Coturnix japonica: one gene and its partners. The protein of the gene in region 1 interacts with the protein of each later gene in a pairwise test. Links are inferred from orthologs where the notes say so. Each region holds a gene or a part of one and is shown in the gene's direction. Other genes may lie near its edges. The genes, in order: TACC3, KIZ and CIB3.

Region 1 (3,648 bases):
AATAACTTCTGATATTTCTAGTATTAAGGGCTTTCTAGATTGAGAGCACTAGAGCTATGCAACTACCTGTCACTGAGTTGTGTAGGTTATTCAGAGGGCTTGCAGTACTGATTAATCACTGCAATGTGAATGGTCTTTCTGCACTTACATGTGTGTCTTGAATGGTTACCATATAGCTGTAAAACACCTGGAAATATTCCTTGTAGGATTGTTGTGTGGAAGGATGTGCAAATGATTGAAGTACAGTCTGACACTTATATTAATACCTAACTGAGATCAGTACATTGAGAAACAGTGACATCTTCATTGTTCAGCTTAAGCTATTACTAATTTTAATGATGTGATTAACAGTCATGCTGTTTTGAGGCACTGTATAGAAGAGAAAAATGTCTGAGTATGCTTGATGCTCTAATTGTGGAACAGCAGAATTTCTTGCAGCTATTTGGGGACAAATAGTGGCTATAAATTTAGTTTAGAAAACTGTCAAATGTTTTATTTTCCAGTTTGAGTTAGTTTTCCATCTGCTAAAATAAAACACCTCATGAGAATAGAGTTATACTTGCTGTATGCACAAGCATATCTGTTTCAGACTGTAGATGTTTCTGTAAGAAACAGTGAAGATACAGTACTGTCATATAATTTATTTTCCAGTTTTCGGAATGGGCATAGACTATCTGGAGCAATTTGGAACTTCATCTGTAAGTATGGTATTGAAATGTTTTGGTTTCTTCCCTGACTGAGGAAAAAGGAAATTGTCAGGCCTTAAATGTTGTCATGAAGTAGCTTGGCTTTGAACTTGTTCACAGAAATACAGGTTCTATTTCACAGGAATGTGTCTATAAGGCATGGAGTGGTGGGGAGGAAATGTGGTTATAAGTAATTTTGCCTAAGGATCAGAGGTCCTGTGTTTCCAGTTTGCAGAGGTGCTTTTTTTTTCCTTACGCTGGTGAAGGACAGATGGATGATATTCCCATCGCTGGTTGCCAAAACAAGAAGAGAATGAAAGGTCATTGCTTTGAAAAGTTTTAAGCTCCTCTGTTTTATGGGCATTTTCAGGAAGTCTGTCTCTAAATTGGGCATGTCATATTTCAGTCAGTTTAGCTCTGTGGTTTTTTCCCCTGCTTTGAGCCAGAGTAGGTGTGGCTTTGAATATACAATGAACATACTGAGCTGAAAGTGTTTTTTAGTTTTGTGTTTGTCCTGAGACTGCTTGTTCAGCTTACAGTGCCATCTTCATCTTTTAGCATCTTCTGCTGGTTTTGAATAGTTAATATAAACTTGTCCTTTTGGTTTTATCTATGAACAGAGGACTGAGATCACTTGATGTTACATAAGGACTTAAGAACTCAGTGCCCACAAGCCTAAGTATTTTTCTCCAGCAAACAATGCTCTGGCCACACAAGAATAGACTCACCCTCCCTCTGGAGGACTATTTGTGTGTGGGGAGGGTGGGACGGTGGGAGCTTATCTACAAAGCAGCAAATCTGCCACTTTGTGCCTTTTCTCCTCAGTTCAAAGAGTCTGCTTTGAGGAAGCAATCGTTGTATTTGAAGTTTGATCCTCTGCTGAGAGACAGTCCTAGAAAGGAACCAATTTTAGGTACTACTGAAGCAAACACGAATATCATGACTGCTCCACTTCAGTGTGGGTAGGTATTGATTTAATCTAGCCTGTAGTGAATAGCTTTGCAAGGAAACACAGCACTTAAATATAATCGTATATGTTTGTTCATTTTTAGCCCTATTTCTGATTTAAGCAATCTGCTTGAAGAAACTGAGAAGCCTGCATTAAGTCTTCAAAATGAGGAAAAACCAAAAGGACTAGATCTTCTAGGAACATTTACAACTTCTGTAAGGATGTCTGGAATTATGTGAAGTTTCATGTTGATAATTTGGGGACGGGGGTCAGCTGGAACATGGAGTTAAGATTTATGCTGAACTTCTAAGGATTGCAGAGTACTTAATGCTTATTTAAACTGCCATCTTAAAGAGGTTGGATACCCACTATATGAAGTTGAACTTTTGATGTACTTAATATTCTAGTATAAATTTTCTTGTTTGTTTGAAGCTGGTGGTGTTACACATGGTCTAGTAGGAGTTTCTGAACTGTTCTTAAGAATGCTTTAATCAAAGCAATCCTTTGCATGTTGCTAAAGCTGTGAAAGAAAGACAAGCTTGTGTTTTAATAGAACTGCTGAGATGAGAAGTGTTTCACTGATTAAATTTGATGCCATACAGTATAAAACTTAGAGCAATGAAAACACTTACATGAAGTGATCTGTGCATAGTTTTTAAACCTGAAAGGTTGTTTACTGGTGGGGAATAGCATGCTGTCTGTCTTGTTTCTGATTGTTAGAACTGGTGGATAGCACTTCATTACACCTTTATTATGTTGTCCTATAGTATACCAACAAGGTAGGAAAGGTAATGGTAACTAATTTATGGGTGTATTTTAGGATGAAGATTCTTAATATATGGATTTAGTATTAAATAACCTTCAAGCAGCTAATGACTACATGAAAATCAGAACCACTTAGAACTCAATTTTTGTCTCTTTACAGGACCCTGGTCCCATAATTCCAGACTCCCTGGCATGTGATGTTTCTCCACTCCCTTTTATTGCTTCCACAAACACTGCAGTGGATGCTATTGTAGATGTGCTGAAATATAGTCAAAAAGATATGGATGCAGCTGTTGAACTGGTTAAAAGAGAGGTAAGGTGACCCTTGACTCTGTATTGCCCTGAAAAATCTCTTTTGTTTAGATTACCTTTTGTAGGTTTCTACACTTGGCAATTCTATCCATCATACTTGACATCAACATCTCATCCAGAAAAGCTTGCTATTGCTTGATAGGACCAGTAGGTATAGAACTATTGGTTTTGCACTTGGGCCGGAAGAACCCCAGGCACCTGTACAGGCTGGGAGGAGTGGTCCTTGAGAGCAGCTCTGCAGAGGAAGACCTGGGGGTTCTGATGGACGAAAGACTCAACATGAGCCAGCAGTGCACTCTGGCAGCTCGGAAAGCAAATGGGATCCTGGGCTCCATCAGGAGAGGGGTGGTCAGCAGGGATAGGGAGGTGATTGTCCCTCTCTACTCTGCTCTTGTGAGGCCCCATCTGTTGTACTGTGTCCAGGTGTGGAGTCTTCAGTACAAGAAAGACATGGAGATTTTGGAAAGGGTCCAGAGGAGGGACAGGAAGATGATCAGGGGGCTGGAGCACCTCCCCTATGAGGACAGGCTGAGGGAGCTGGGTTTGTTCAGCCTGGAGAAGAGAAGGTTGCGGGGTGACCTCATTGCAGCCTTTCAATACCTGAAGGGAACTTACTCCCAGGAGGGGAGTAAACTCTTGGAAAGGGCTGACAATAGCAGGACACGGGGAAATGGTTTTAAGTTGAAAGAGGGAAGATTTAGGTTGGATGTTAGGGGGAAGTTCTTCACTAGGAGAGTGGTTAGGTCCTGGAACAGTCTGCCCAGGGAGGTTGTGGATGCCCCGTCCTTGGAGGTGTTCAAGACCAGGTTGGACGGGGCCCTGGGCAACCTGATCTAGTAAAGGTGTATGTTTGGTGGCCCTGCCAGGCAGGAGGGTTGGGACTACATGATCCTTGAGGTCCCTTCCAACCCAGGTCATTCTGTGATTCTGTGAACT
Region 2 (3,648 bases), on another chromosome or scaffold:
TTCCTTCTATGATCTTTTTTCTGGTTGAGTAAGCTTTCAAAGAGTGGGGGGGGGGGGGGGAAATAAAAGTGCCAAGACACATGAATGTAGAAGTGGAGCATTTATAGTGTTGGAATGATTTTTATGCAGGTTCAGCAGAGTTCTAGGGTGAAAGTGTCATTTGAAATGTTTCTGCTCAGTTCCCAAAGTTGTCTTGTGCAAAATACAACTCCACCTGCTTGTTAGCTCATTCTTCCTGTTTGGTGCGGGTCGGCTGGAGGAAAGAACAGAAGGCAATGAATCAAATTCTTGTTTGGCTGTGTTGGTTTTTTTTTGGCTTTGTTTTTGTTTGCCTCAGTTTTCCTTGCTATGTTAATGTGCAGTGAGCTGAGCTGGATATATAGATAGATGATGGCAGATGGAGACTTCAGTCTCTTTGGGATCCCTCCTTATCCTGTTGCTTGCTCAAGACCCATCTCTGCCATGTTGCATGCCCAAGAACTCCTGCTGCTGCTGGTCCATTAGTAGACAAGACATAAGTGGAAAGCAAAGTCAAATTCTAGCGCATACTTCACGCTGGCTTGTGTTGGCCAAGGAGGGTGGCTCTTAGTGGCTATGGCTTCATTCAGCAACCAGTGGGTTCTGCAGTGTCAGAGGTGGGATCTGGTACTCCAGCATCAGCTCTGCAGCTGGTCCAACAAAAAGGGTGCACAGAATGAAATGACAACTTGCTGGCAGCTGACACTATTCCTGCAGAGGGGGGAGATGGCGCTCATCATCTAATGGTAGTATTAGCCATATTGAAGGATTATTTTTTGGCAGATGCTTTCAATGAGTTGTGCTTATTTTCGGATGTGATGGGGTAACCTGTACCAGATGTATTGGGTTCCACCTTTGCTGATCTCTAGTGGGAGCAGATGACAAATTGGGCTGTAGAATTTCACAGAGAGGGCATTTGCTATTTCCATTTACTTTAAAGCAAGTGGACAGAAGAATGTGTTGTCTATGCCTTCAGAAACTAGCACACAATCCTCAAGAAGCTTCATTTGCAGCATGCTACCTGTTTGATTCTTTAACCATCTTGCACCTGTGTCTTCCAGATGCCACAGGCTGCAAGGCAGGCAGGAATTCATGTCAAGACAGCTGTGTCCAGAAGGTTGCATCATCCGGTGCCATTCTTCACAGGCCGCTGCATGTCTGCCTGCAGTGTGCAGCAGGAACCCCCGCAGCCTGCTGCCTGCCCCAGCAGACTGACAACCTTGCGTGGTGATGATACAGACAGGCATCCCACACAATTTGGTGGTGACACGGAGCGTGACAATAAGCCTGATGAGCAAGGTGGCAAGTTGGGCCTCCCCATGGAGGAGATGCCCATCAGAGACAGCAGCTTGCACAGCAGTCTTCTGAATTTTAAAGAAGACAAAAATTCCAGTGAACTCTGCTCAGCATTACCCAATGGAGGACGTGTGCAGAGCAGCACTGCTGACTTAGCAAGTGATACATCAGTGGAGGAGGTGATGACCCACAAGCACCTGGTAACAAGTGCAAAAGAAGTCTGTGAGCACCCTGTCCTCTTGGCACCTGCCCCTGAGCCCAGCATCTCTGGTATGTGGAACCTCTGCTCCAGTGTGCTGCTGCAGCACACACACACATCCCAAACACACACATGCATGCAGCTGCTGGGTTTTTGCCTACAGCTCTTATACTTTGGTTGAAGAGCAGTAGAACTCTCATCTGTTTTCTTCTTTTTTTGTTCGTTTTCTACTTTTTTTTTCTTGTCTGTTTCCTCCTAGGTTTTTCATCAAAGTCTCACTGGCGATGAAAGCTGCTGGATTTTCATTCTTTAGCTGGGGCATTTTGAGGCTCCTGCTCTTTTTGCTCACCCCTGACAGCAGAATACCTGCTGAATATCCCCTGCTCCATCTTCAGGGTCTTAGCTTTTTGCTTTTCATTCTGAGCAGACCAAAGCTGGGGAGAGGAGGAGGATGGGGATGTGTAAAGCAAAAACTAGCAGTGAGCAGCCGAACCTGGACCTTTTGCGCTGCTGTCAGTCCTGTAGTACCTTCTACAAGGCTGCCTTGTCCTGGCAGCCTGCTTAAGATGGACCCCAAATATGAGAGGGATCTCTACCCCACTGGATGATTATTCAGTAAAGTAAAATGAATGTCCTTCATTCATCCAAGGCACACTGCTTTTCTAGTTGATGCGAGGCTTGGTCAAGTCTAACTTGGGAGCTAAAAGAAAGCGAAGATTTCTTCACTGCTGTGCCTACAATTGTCTTGAAGTTGTTTGAGCCTGTTTTTAAGAGGTTTAATGTCAACTTAATTTACTGGCAAAATAGGAAATCTCTATTTTGGATTGATTTCATTCTTCAAATGCTTATTCAGAATAGTTCTGAAAAGTGAATTTGCAAATGTAGACCAAGAATCATCACTTCCATGCAGGAGACTAGATTAACTATTATTTGTTCTGAATTGTTCCCTACTTTCTTGAGGGATGTGATGCTTGTCTTCCAGCTGGGATGTACATGTATGAGAATGGAAGGCTGCGCTTAAAGGCTGCTTCTCACCTTTTCTTTTGCTATCATGGCAAAATGTTTTCTTTCCTGCTTCACTTTGAAGTAAGCTAACAGACTTGTTCTTGAAATCTCAGTAATGAAGATTTGTCTCTAAGTAACTGTTTCTTTGGCTTTTTTTCTGTAAGACCTAGCAGAAATATCTTCCCCTCCCCTGCCAGTTGATACAGCAATTTCTAGCTTTTAAGTTTTCCAAGCTATGTAGGAAATGCTAAGATTGAGCTTTTCCTAGTGGAAACTAGTGGCAACCCTAATATGAAGGGACTCCTGTCCTGTAACGATCATGGTCTTTATAGTCAATAACTGGCATCTCCATCAGATGATCTTCTGTGGATTTATTTTTTCTGGCCTCCTTTCTTAATTTTTTTTCTTTATTATTATTTTTTCCATTTCTTTATTCATTCCTAAATAACTTCTGTCCTGATGTTGTCTTTCATCTTACGTGCTTCCATGTCAACACTGTCAGGCTTTGCATGGGGACAGAAGGTCCTGGTGTGAGCTGCCATTTGTCACAGCCCTCAAGAATTGGGGCCTCAGGGAACCTATGCCTGAGATGAGCTGAATTGTTGGGTGCTGTACCACTAGCTGTGAATACTGTTTCATTCAAAACCATGGGAATTTCTGTGGCAATGCTAATATACAACTGCAATGGTTGGCCCATTTAATTTTTGTTGTTTAAAGAAAAAATTTTATTATTAGGCACAGTTTATGTCTGTGCTCTTCTTATTTCAAGAAGATAACTAATATGCTGAATATAAAAGCCACTGAAGCTTGTGTTTCTTCTGCAAGATTTAGAAGATGTGTCAGAAAGAAGGCTCTCCAGGTGTATTTCTCCTTGCTCCATTTCCCACCCTACTCCTCCCAACACGGGGAAACTATTCTGAAGCTTTATCCTGAAAAACCTTTTTCAAGCTTGTCTGTTTCTTTGCATCTCCCAAGGCAATGTGGGGAGGTAGGAGATGATTCTGCGGTAGTGATTTTCATGGCAGGGTTGATTGTGGCTGGTTTTGAGCTCTGGTTTCAAACTCAAACTTGGGAGCATGGCCAGGGCCTGCCTGAACTCCCCCTTGCGAGGGAAGCGCAGAAGGACATGA
Region 3 (4,374 bases), on another chromosome or scaffold:
CCTCACCTTTCCCTTCAGGTCCAGCACGTACACGGCGCTGGCCGACATCGCGCCGCCCGGGGCCGCCGCGCCCGCCGCGCCCGATCACAGTCACAGCGACTTCCGCTTCCGCCCGCCACTTCCGGTAGGAAGCGGCTGCACAAGGTCCGGCCGCGCGGAGGGATACGCGCAGTGATCCGCCGGCAGCGGAACAGCACTTAAGGCACCGATTGCTGACGTTAAGTAGTGCGCGGCCGGCTGAAGTCCGCAGTTAGGAAGGCTGAGGAGCCCCGGGACGGGTCAGCGGTACCAGAGGGAAAACGCTTGGGTTGAATTAGTGTGTGAGGGTCTGGGATGTGATTCACATCACCTGTGAGAGCTGTAAATGCAGCCATACAGACTGCATGCAGCACACCACCCTCACTGCAGGGAAAGGAGCACCGAAATAATGGATAAAAGGAGCTTTTTAATAAGTTACAGTAAAGACATAAGGATTGTAGAATACAGCAGACACCACTGCCCCAACTCAGAGATTTTATATAGGAATTACACAGTTCTGCCACTGATAAGAGCAGCTCATACAATGTAATGCTGCCACAGACTGCTTCTTCTAAGAGCTGCTGGCATAGGACAAATAAAGGAACATTCTCCTGTTGTCTCACAGCAATTGGGTTCAGCTTTGAGCACTGAAAAACACCCCATAAGTCAACAGCCAAAGAAGAGGTTTTGTTGAGTATTTTGAAACTGAAATACGGCAGTACAAGGTGATAAATGTTCCGAAGACATATGAAATATTCAGTATCATGAATACGGAGGTTTACACGGCAGCCCTGTTTGGTGTGAGCACAACTCCTGACCCGAGGCCCCGAAACGCCGCCCGTTCACTTGGTCCAGCTGACTTTGGGGATGTCGTAGTGCTCCGTCAGAGTGTCCAGGTGCCTGTTGAAATCCTGAGGGGCAGCAAAGGAACAGAGCGCTCAGAATTGGAGCATTCACCATCGCGCAGCCCTCCCCACAGCGCTGCCCAGCTGATGGTACTTCCACTCACCTCAACTCTCTGTTTGTGTGTTTTCGAGGCCTTCTTCAGGATCCTCTCCATTTGCTGGAAGAAGACACAAGATCACAGTTATTGCCGTGGGGTTCCGACCCGCCCCACGTCCCGGGGGCAGTGCGGCCCTACCCGCTTCTCCTGCATCTTCTCGTAGGCCACTTGCGCCGGGGTCCGCTTATCCAGGCCGCGCTTCTTCTCCTCTTCCTGCTTCTTGCTGCTCACGATCTGCTCCAGGATCTTGGCCTTGTCCTTCGCTTTCTTCTTCTTCCTGCGGACAGACGCCGCTCAGCTCCCAGCCCCCGGCCCGGCTCCCGGTTCCCCCCTCTCCCTGCCGCTCACCGTTTGCCGGCCCCCAGCCCCGCTCCGCCGCCCTTCAGCCGCAGCGGCCCGCGCTGCACCGCCTCGTAGTCCGCCATCGCTCGGCCGCCCAGCGCCACAGCGACCCCTGGCGGCAGCGCCGTTCCCGCCACAGGGCGCTGAGGTAAAAGCCGTTACAACCCGAGCGGCCCCGAAGTGCCCGGCCACAACCCGAACCTCGAGCCCAACCCACGGTGTTCCACTCCGAACCGACCGAATCTGAATCGCTGCCGCTTGTTTTAAGGCACCTTAAGGGTGAGTGAAGCTGTGCGGCTCCTGTGGTGCTGCTGTTAGTTCCACACCCTACCCTTGTGTTTCACGTTTAACTCACGGTTCTGTTTTCATGTATAAACAATGCAATCTCTTGTATTTTCAGTGTAAAAGCCACATATGGACCTGTATATATGCATGCTTGTCACACTAATGGACATTAACTAGAGATAATGTGTGTTAATGGAGAGATAGAGGGGCTAAGAGGACTTTACAGGTATTGCCCCAAGAAAAGCCAATACTGACATTAGTGAGCAATGCAGTGTGTGTTGTAGCGAAAAATGAGACAAAAAAGATCAGTGGTGACCACCACTGTGACCAGCTCCGAGCATTCAGCGCCAATCTTAACAAGTAAAGGCATTACCAACACTATTCAGGTAATTTGCCATATGAAGGAATGAAGATGTGCTGTCTGCGAGCCCTGCCCGCTGCTGCAAAGGCACAGACCAGAAGCTATTAGTCGTGTGGCTCAGTGCTGTAACATGAGGCTCTGTGTGCACAGAGACAGGTGAGTGATGCTGGATAGGAGCCGTGAGTAGCCAGACTAGAGATTTGATGAAGTGCTCCTATTATGGCTCTTTGTAGCCCATAGAATAGGGAAGCTGGTTACTTGATCCTCTGCTTTACCTGAACCTCATTGTTGCAGCTTTTAATATCTGAATATCCAGGCCTCCTATAAAGGTGACTTTGAGGAAAGAACGATGGGAGAAGAATCAGCGTTCAGAGCCAGAAATGGGCAACAAGCAAACCATCTTCACTCCAGAGCAACTGGATGCATATCAGGTACAAAACAAACTAAATGAGTTGTTAGACAGAACACTGAATAATGGTGTTGCTGTTGTGTTTTTATTTTTATTTTTTTAAGCAATCTGTTTAAAACTTACTAAGTAGGAGAACTGAATTACAGTGAAGATTTTAGTAAGACACTTTAGTTTGGTTCTTACATCAAGAAAAGTGATAAAGTATTCCTAATTATATACAAAATGAAAGGGTGTTAGTGCTCGGCCACAGCATCATTCTATTTGAGTCACTAGTGGAAGAGTCAGGGCCAATGAGTGCTAAAAGCTGCCTTTACAATGATGTCTTATTTCATAGGACTGCACATTCTTCACGAGGAAAGAAATTCTGAGGTGAGTCTTGTGTGTATGTTCTGTGTGCAAAATACAGAGACTGCTACAAAACAGATTGTATGAAAGATGAAGAACACTTTAAAGTAACTTTAAAATGCATTTATACAAAATGAAAGTCATACATTGGACAATCTGAGCTTCTTTCTTTCTTTCTTTCTTTCTTTCTTTCTTTCTTTCTTTCTTTCTTTCTTTCTTTCTTTCTTTCTTTCTTTCTTTCTTTCTTTCTTTCTTTTTCTTCTTTTAATGTACAAAAACTATCTATACAATCTATCATAAAGTAAGCCGGGTTTTAAATATTCAGTGAAGGTAACAGTCTCTACACCATAAATGTAACAGGGCATATTTTTGTGTGTACTTTGCTGCTGACATCCATGTTCCCTTCACTTTGTTTTAGGACAAGTGCTTCAAAATGTACTGTTGTACCTCGGGACATGTTGCCTGTTTTAAGAAATCATTAATGATTGTATCCAATTTGATTCACATTTCCTTCATGTAAATAATTAGCAGTGATTACCCTGAGCTGCATTCTTCTCAAAGCCTTCATGAACTTCGTCAAATACTCTATTTAACCCCTGGCCAAAGGATCTGCCAAAGGCAGGTTTGGTATTCTGGTCCTATGGGACTAAGACTTTTCAGTCTCTCAAATTCAGGCATTGCTTGCTAATAGCTCTGAAGGATGGAGCATGAATAACAGTTTTGTACTGAATATCCCCATTTAGAGCTTTGATACCTATGTATGAATTAAATATTAGATAAAAAATGAAAGATTCCGTAATAACTGAAATTTAAATCTGCCTCTCCTTGTAGTAAGTAGAGGCCAGAGCCATAAGTGTGTCATGAATAAGACATTTATTATTGATAAGAAACCCTTTTAAAATTCTATGCTATTGTTTTGTTGATGACAGCTATGAATGGGATCCTCACACACACAAAGGGATGAAGAAAATTGCAAGCTGACAAAGTACTAATACATCCAGATGACTGTGCATACATTCTGTCTCCTGAATCTGGCTGTGATGGAAAAAAAAGAGATACTTGTGGTGAATAAAAGCCTGTTAAGTTGTTCTGAAAGCACGAGGGCTTTGTATTTATCACCAGTTACACTGTGTTGCTTTTTTAATGTTGCCTCTTCCACTAATGTCTACTACAGAGTATGATAAATGTGACTTAGGGACTGATACCATCCTTCTGGTAAAGGATGCAGAGTATGAAGAACAGATAAGGCAAACACATTGTTCTCAAAGGTCTCAATAACTTGCTCCCTGAATGAGCCTTCCTTTCTCTTTCAGACTATTCTACAGATACCGAGATCTGGCCCCGCAGCTCGTCCCACTCGACTACACCAATAAACCAAACGTGACACTTCCCTATGAGCTCATTGGCAGCATGCCAGAGCTGAAGGTACAGAGCAAGGAGCACAGCTGGAATCAAGTGACACGAGCAGTTTAATCTACCATTTTTAATAATTCATCCAGTACTAATTACTAAGGGGATGAAATACAAATAAATTTTGCTTACTAAAGTCAAACCTTTCTGGAAACTTCTAATGATTTCCTGAAAACACCCTGAAATTGCGTAGAGGTTAAA

What was found.
Region 2: the proteins of TACC3 (region 1) and KIZ interact in binary tests that used the Homo sapiens proteins (3 or more experiments, as listed by UniProt). The two-hybrid records come from large-scale screens. The link is inferred for Coturnix japonica from reciprocal best matches to the Homo sapiens genes TACC3 and KIZ.
Region 3: the proteins of TACC3 (region 1) and CIB3 interact in binary tests that used the Homo sapiens proteins (3 or more experiments, as listed by UniProt). The two-hybrid records come from large-scale screens. The link is inferred for Coturnix japonica from reciprocal best matches to the Homo sapiens genes TACC3 and CIB3.

What each region holds. Positions count from the first base shown.
Region 1 is NC_029519.1:76,062,149-76,065,796, reverse strand, and holds part of TACC3 (transforming acidic coiled-coil-containing protein 3), read left to right. Parts: intron 1-651; coding exon 652-698; intron 699-1,511; coding exon 1,512-1,648; intron 1,649-1,738; coding exon 1,739-1,850; intron 1,851-2,560; coding exon 2,561-2,713; intron 2,714-3,648. UniProt on the Homo sapiens protein: Plays a role in the microtubule-dependent coupling of the nucleus and the centrosome. Involved in the processes that regulate centrosome-mediated interkinetic nuclear migration (INM) of neural progenitors.
Region 2 is NC_029518.1:4,156,506-4,160,153, forward strand, and holds part of KIZ (centrosomal protein kizuna), read left to right. Parts: intron 1-1,079; coding exon 1,080-1,584; intron 1,585-3,648. UniProt on the Homo sapiens protein: Centrosomal protein required for establishing a robust mitotic centrosome architecture that can endure the forces that converge on the centrosomes during spindle formation. Required for stabilizing the expanded pericentriolar material around the centriole.
Region 3 is NC_029543.1:3,471,596-3,475,969, forward strand, and holds the start of CIB3 (calcium and integrin-binding family member 3), read left to right. Parts: upstream 1-1,527; 5' UTR 1,528-1,642; intron 1,643-2,034; 5' UTR 2,035-2,139; coding exon 2,140-2,165; intron 2,166-2,303; exon of another isoform or gene 2,304-2,325; coding exon 2,326-2,440; intron 2,441-2,752; coding exon 2,753-2,787; intron 2,788-4,076; coding exon 4,077-4,188; intron 4,189-4,374. Other genes in the region: AP1M1 (AP-1 complex subunit mu-1), read right to left, coding at 7-48; protein FAM32A, read right to left, coding at 861-929, 1,028-1,081, 1,160-1,298, 1,370-1,446. UniProt on the Homo sapiens protein: Acts a an auxiliary subunit of the sensory mechanoelectrical transduction (MET) channel in hair cells. Plays a role in regulating hair cell MET channel localization and function.